Linked DNA regions of Saccharomyces cerevisiae S288C. Changing the gene in region 2 together with the main gene of any one other region gives a genetic interaction. Each region holds a gene or a part of one and is shown on either strand. Other genes may lie near its edges.

Region 1 (4,596 bases), on a different chromosome or scaffold from region 2:
CAAGTACTCTAATTCCTTGTATTGAGGTGTGAACGCACAATGAGATGCTACATTGACTATCAAAACCACTTTGTTACGCAGGGAGTTGAAGGGGAATGGATTTCCGTTTTCATCTATTGGTGAAAAAGAATAAAATTCTTGCATCGTTACTTATAAATATTGTGTTTCTCCGCTTATATTCCTTATACGGGTTCACAATCAGAGAACCTCGCCGTGCACAATATCACCTACATGACTAAAATATATTTGTACATTACTGTGTTATATAATCACTTAATATTGTTCACCATAAGCAATCTCTGTAGTAGAGGTGAGCCCCGGCTTTAAGTTCTCTTAGATGTGGCGAACAAGGGATGAATCGCTTACCCTATAGAATTAGGGAACAGAAGGGGAAAGCAAATACGGAAAATTTTCCACATGAAGACGGTAGTGGGGTATGTCAAGGGGATACTAATGTATAATTAATATATATGTGTGTATCTACATTATTTGGTGTTGTTTTATTGGGTGATGGATCGAAAGGTGGATTCTATCAAGTCCTTCAACTCCTTATAGGATATAATAATACAGTTTAACTCATCGGGCGTTACCAACATTAACTTTTCTTGAATACCAGCGTCTAATTTGTTCAAACATCTTAGGACATGAGTTAAATCCATTATTGGTTTCCCATTCGAATCCACTTGATGGAATACGTAGTCATAAAATAGTATAATGGGGAATTTAGTCCCAGATTCGGACCAATTTATGTCTATTCTTGATTCGATTCTACCAAAAATGCAATTTAGCTTGTTGACCAGCCTAAATAATCTGCCATTTTCTAGTTCTCTTGATAAGACAGACTCCATGTATTCTGTATAGGTTTGTGACGATTCCAGGACCATGAACATCTTATCATAAAAGTGACTAGTAAGATCATGAATGCTCTTTTTGGAATCGCCGTTGTCTGATATCAGATACTTGAGTACATCCTTGAACTTATCATCGATCTGTCTCATGTCATCAATTGATTGAGGGGTTATTTCCTCCAATCGATATTCTTTAGGGGCAGTGTTGTTATTAGAGTTTTCAATATTAATGGATAGGTTAAATAATAGCTCTCCTAAATATTTGTAGTCTAGCTGTTGTTGTCCCTCTATGGTACTTCCGCCGGAAGATACTACGGTATCAGTATCATCATTGAACAAAAGGTCCATAAAATTGCAGTGTGATAACTTGATTCTCCCTGGGTCCCCAGTAATCAAAACTTTTCTCCAGTTTAATGTATTGCCAATACTCAAGTTTTGTGAATGGATAGAGTTTATTACATTGGTGAGTTGAACTAAATATATCCATAAATAATTATTCGTTATTGGAAACTTAGGGAAATTAACAAAGTGGTAATCATACAAAGATAGCGAGTTTGGGTAGTAGTCAAAGACCAAACAAATAGACAGATCACCAAATTTAGTAGTTTGAAAAATGTCCCTAAACTTTATCAAATTTGTACAATTAATTTTTGACCATATCTGATATATTTTGGATATTTTGTTTGGATTCATTGACTTATCGATGTTAGGAAGCCTCTTCAAAACGTAGGCTTTACCGTCATAATTGGAAAAAACTTTGAAGAGCGTAGTTTTATTTAAAAAATCGTTATTATTGAAGTTCAATGGAACCAAATTAAAATAATCTTGTACAATACTTGGTATAACTTTACCTGAAGAGGGGAAAACCTGCAAAATCGATAAGTTTTTCTTGGTTAAATCTTCTCTAATATTGTTTGGAATGAAAAGCTGATCTGCAGACCTTTCATTAGGCTTTAATAATGATTTCAATGATGATGGCTGTTCAGGTGCATATAGGTGATACTGTAGAAGACTGTGAGGAGGCGGATAAATACGTGGGTACTTAAGATTACTACTCTCTATGGGTGGCGGTTGCATAGGAGGTGGCACATTATTAGCCATACTCATATTGTTACTATTATCATCAGTGGCGTTTATATTTATGCCACCAGAATTTGCAATGGAGGGAAATGGAAAAGAATGTGCATTTGCATTAGTGTGAATTGAGGAGGTTGAAGACGGAGTGAAAATGGGGGCATTGAAGGGGTCGTAATTGGAACTCGAAGCGGTAGTTGGTATTGATATGCTTATATTACTATTATTGTTATTGTTATTCACTAACGAGCTATTAACTATCGGATTAATCATCGGATTAACTGTAGAAGCAGTAGCAGAGGTAGCTGCCATGGCGATATTGCCAGTAGCATTTGTAGCAGCGGAGGTGGTATTCGTCACAGTGGTTAAGGAGTCACTACCGACTGTCATCGGAGTGAAACTTGCGGATACTTTAGCATTGAACTTAGGAACTGATGTCATGGTCGGAGTTGTAGCCTCACCCACATCTATTGGAGGAGGAACGTCATTTATGGTAGTAGCGGTAGTGTTATCGCTGTGTTTGAAAGGGCAACCTTCTTTCTCCTTTTTGCAGTAGCCATAAATAGTGATATTTCTGCACGGAATATCCTTCGCCCAATCAGGATTGATTTTGTCCATGGCGTAAGATACGTCTGACTAGTCTTTTAGGCTTACCTATCATCGAAACAGTGCTCCCGCCATTGTTATTATTGCTCTTTTAATTCATAAACCAAATAATTTAGCAGTTTATTTTAAGGTTACCCTGTAAAGGTCTGATATGTAGGGGAGGGCATATAATCATTTTAATATATATGTATATATTCTTACATATATATATAATATCGCCGTAACTTATAGCGTAAACTATATAAAATACGTCTTAGTCTATAAGCTATCACGGATAGCGTCTTGGACGTCTTTGTACACATCTTCGACGGATCTGTCGCAACGAACACGGACGACTTTCGATTTGGTTTCAAAGTACTCGATGACGGGCATACTAGTCTCCTTGAAAGTGTTAAATCTCTTCTTAATGGACTCAATGTTGTCATCGCTTCTACCACTGGTCTTGCCACGCTCCAATAGTCTCTCTAACATGATATCTTCAGGGCAGTCAAAGAACAGGATGAATTTGCTTTCAACGATGTCTCTTTCAAAGGAAATGGCTTGATCCATCTTCCTAGGAAATCCGTCAATTAAGAACTTATGCTTGTTCGCCTTGACGTTATCGGAAATAGCGTTGCGTAAAAGCGCCAAAGTAATCTCTTGAGGGACAATCTGGCCCTCTTTGATGCAGTTCTTGATCAATTCCCCATATTGGGAACCTGCTCTGCCCTGCTCAGCACGTAGAAGGTCTCCGGCTGACAAATGGACAAATGAATAGTCCTTAACTAGTTTTTCACACTGAGTACCCTTGCCTGCACCGGGTCCTCCTAGAACGAAGATCACGGAAACTTGGTCAGGCGAGAAAGCTGGCTGTGATGTAGTGGCAGCTGTCATTTGTCTTATTCAAGAAATTCAACTGGTTCGTTCTTTTGATAGTTTACCGAAATAACTGATGTCACGAGTGCTAAAGTTCCTACGAGTACCAACAATTTGCCTTTGTGTTTACCCTTGCTTTGACTTTTGTTAGCGCGTGGTACGTTTACGTTGGTCTTCGAAGGTGCTGTATTGTGGAAAGTTGGTTTTTTCGAAGAATAAAATCTCAGTATAAACCTGTAGCGTGGATTCATAATATAACTAAGCTAACATAAAAACGGGAGAGGGTGTGTGCGACTAAAGGCAAAGACAGGAATGCATCGCTTTAAAAGATCACCATAACTACTTAAAAGTTTCGTTAACGTGGTGAAAAAGAAAAGAAAAAGAAAAGTGAAAAAAATAAACCTAGGGTTGAAAATATAATCAGTTAGGTGTCATGATATTGATACATTTATTTCTATAGGTCTGAGAGTACTAACTTAGGGTATATGAGGGGTGTTAAGTTGGGATGATGACGCATTAATTAAGAGTTCATTATATGAGGATATTGTATACAATGCAAGAATAGCGCCCCAATCCCGGCCAGGTATAACGTGCAAGCATGAATAAAGAAGAATTATTGGGTTTTCTACTAGATGACAGTATTGATAGCCAAAAAAGATGCGTCACGGATCAGCAGGCCTACTCTAATTGGTTAAAGAATGATAATGATGAACGTACGGCCCATGAGGAAAGCTCTTCACAAAGTACGATAGCCGCATTGAATAAGAAGAAGCAGACAGAAGCTGCTCAAGAAGATATAGAAGAACTGTTAAACGGCTTAGAAGGCATTATTGGAGGAGCCGACCCCCGTAATCTCAAGAGTAAGTCAAAGAGGAAAACCAAAAAGGGCGGATCGAAACCAAGGGAAGAAAACGTGAATACGGAGAAACATATTGTAATGCTCGAGGTAGAAGATTTTAGTGATATGAGCACCCACGAAGATGTCAACGGAGCAAGTCCGTCGCCAAATCTGGACCGGTCGAAGAAGAATGAGAAGCGAAGGAAAAACGCCAAGGAGCTGTCATACGATGAACTAAAAGACAAACTAGAAGTTACCACTCGCAAATCACGTCTTGAGTGCAAAGACTTGAAAAAGAAAGTTCATGGGCTCGAAAGAAGGAACCTTGAACTTGAACAGCGTTTAGAAGAGCTGAAGATTGAGAACCAGACTTTG
Region 2 (2,809 bases):
CACGCAGGTTCCCTAACTAATTTATCTAAGCAAGCAGCTTCAACGGTTCAAATTCTTGGTGCTGAAAAGGCTTTGTTCAGAGCTTTAAAAACTAAAGGTAACACTCCAAAATACGGTTTGATTTACCACAGTGGTTTTATTTCTAAGGCCTCTGCCAAGAACAAGGGTCGTATTTCTAGATACTTGGCTAACAAATGTTCTATGGCCTCTAGAATTGACAATTACTCTGAGGAACCATCTAATGTTTTTGGTTCCGTACTAAAGAAACAAGTTGAGCAAAGATTAGAATTCTACAACACTGGTAAGCCAACTTTGAAGAATGAATTAGCCATTCAAGAAGCCATGGAACTTTATAACAAAGATAAACCAGCTGCAGAAGTGGAAGAAACCAAGGAAAAGGAATCCTCAAAGAAGAGAAAATTAGAAGATGATGATGAAGAAAAGAAGGAAAAGAAAGAGAAAAAATCGAAGAAGGAAAAGAAAGAAAAGAAGGAAAAGAAGGACAAAAAGGAAAAGAAAGATAAAAAGGAAAAGAAGGATAAAAAGAAGAAAAGTAAGGATTAAAAGGAACAATGAATCGAAATAAAGTATATCCCATCTTTTTGTGTACTTTTCTTCCCTTTAAAGTTTTTCATATATATATATATTATCTTTTATTCCCTTCTAATATTCTTCTTTAGGATTTGGAAGCTGTATATTGTATATTTAGAAATATTATTAAATAAAAAAGTCATATGTTATTTTGAGCTTAAGTACCCTCTTATGCCTCTTTCACTCGCCATTACTGACATTCTGTGATCGCCATTCATATATATAGGCCTGATTGTGCACCAATTGCCGCGCTATCACACCTCCATAAGCGATAGCATTCTTCAGAATATCTTGAAGGCTCAAAACCAAGCCATTGACCGCACAAATCAACTAAAGAACCCATGTCAGACAACGAAAGTTTCTCAAATCCATTAGGCCCCTCACTAGGCGCTACAAGACATTTAAATTTCAGTCCCTTACTGGGACCGACAATCAATTGTGTTAGCACACTTCCTATGAATCCCGTTATAAATTCTGGTGGTTGTAGTGTACATTCATTTTCCGTCATTACCTTCATGCTGGCGATTTTATCAGAGGTGCCAATTACTATTATATCAGGGGAGAACTGGGCTAACTGTGATATGATAGATCTACTTATCATGTTACCAAAAATCGGCGATATACTAATGAAATTCTCCTCCATAGAAAATAATAACGTCTTTCCAAATGAATAAATCGGGAAAGAAAAACCATATACTGTTTCATCGGCGGTGTCATTTTTTTGATCAGGATCAACCTCGTTTGGAAAGTTTTCGTCGTAATTCCACGAGTGTTTACCTGAAGATTGGGGAAGACTTGGACTTTTCACCGTCAATGTAGTTTTAATTTCACCAATAGAGGTTAATTGAAGCAGATTTTTGGGGAATAATGGGTTCATTATCTTAGTAGTAATGACGGCTGTCGAATATTGAGGAACATCCAAGTCCTGAGGAAACTCAACTTTTGGAACCGGGCAGACTTCTAAAGATTGCAGGTTTTTTGAAATCTCTGGGAGATCTAGCAGATGTTTTGGTTCTGGTAAGTCATTCCATTGTTTAAACTTCAAAAAGAATCAAGTAACATAAGTTAGTCAAACCACTCTACTCTAGCAAAATATGATGGGGAAAAAAGATTATTGTAACATACAAGCATCGCTATAAATGAAAATTTTACTGTAGTGCGATGATATCTTGGTCGCTGTTTCTTATTATTTCGCCTGTTGCCACCTATTGCCACGCAACTTCTTAAATTGATTTCAATGAAGTCTGAAATTTTGATGCGAAAGAAAAAAAAAAGTAAAGGCAATAAAACTTCATCAAGTCAAACGTCATCTATAAATAATCCCACTTCAGAATTGAAAAAGACTACATTTGAGTGGAGGAACAAAAGCAAAAATGTCTGAATTAGGTGCCAAATATCAACAGTTGCAAAATGAGTTAGAAGAGTTTATTGTGGCCAGACAAAAATTAGAGACACAATTACAAGAAAACAAGATTGTAAATGAAGAGTTTGACCAATTAGAAGAAGATACACCTGTGTACAAATTGACAGGCAATGTCCTTTTACCAGTTGAACAAAGTGAGGCACGTACCAACGTGGACAAAAGATTAGAGTTCATCGAAACAGAAATTACAAGATGCGAAAAGAACATAAGGGACAAGCAGGAAGAACTAGAAAAGATGAGAAGCGAGCTAATTAAACTGAACAATACAGCAGCTTCCACTGGCCCAGGAAGGTAAAACAAACTCACAGGTCCTCGGAAAGACAAGAAAGCGCACAGTACCAATAAATCTGCCCAAAATAAAATTTTCTTTTATATACAATTATGTAACTTACAAACAAAATACCTACGCATTTCACTGTCCTAAACTTCAAATTGACATGTAAGATTGCTTAACCCCTAACTAATTGAGATTTGATTAAATTTACCGTAGACATTAACGTATACCAGGCAAACTCTTCAGTATTGTTATAGTACTCACCCAAACGCATGACCCTATGTAATTTATCCTTTGCAAAAGTAAACGTTTCTTTGTAATTGTGGGATTTATCCTGAGCCATAAATAACTTTGAACCAATGTAGGTGCTCGAAACAGCCAATCTCTTAGCATACCATGCAGAATCATGGTGGTCCTTTTCGTTGGAAAAGTAAATCATATCATCGGACAATCTGTGTAGTTCAGGAATTGCAGTTTCAAAGAGAAAGGCGCTTGGAATAGCCAATTGTGACATTAGTTCC

What was found.
Region 1: mutations in YKE2 (region 2) and PAN3 together harm fitness more than expected from each alone (negative genetic interaction), as found in Saccharomyces cerevisiae (6 studies listed by BioGRID, with this or other methods).

Annotation. Positions count from the first base shown.
Region 1 is NC_001143.9:389,740-394,335, forward strand, and holds PAN3 (PAN-complex poly(A)-binding subunit PAN3), read right to left. Parts: upstream 2,541-4,596; coding exon 501-2,540; downstream 1-500. Other genes in the region: glutathione peroxidase GPX1, read right to left, coding at 1-144; URA6 (bifunctional uridylate/adenylate kinase), read right to left, coding at 2,787-3,401; MIN9 (Min9p), read right to left, coding at 3,407-3,634; SKA1 (Ska1p), read left to right, coding at 3,982-4,596.
Region 2 is NC_001144.5:547,048-549,856, forward strand, and holds YKE2 (tubulin-binding prefolding complex subunit YKE2), read left to right. Parts: upstream 1-1,964; coding exon 1,965-2,309; downstream 2,310-2,809. Other genes in the region: snoRNP complex protein NOP56, read left to right, coding at 1-564; PBA1 (Pba1p), read right to left, coding at 806-1,630, 1,717-1,722; ubiquinone biosynthesis protein COQ9, read right to left, coding at 2,464-2,809. UniProt on the Saccharomyces cerevisiae protein: Binds specifically to cytosolic chaperonin (c-CPN) and transfers target proteins to it. Binds to nascent polypeptide chain and promotes folding in an environment in which there are many competing pathways for nonnative proteins.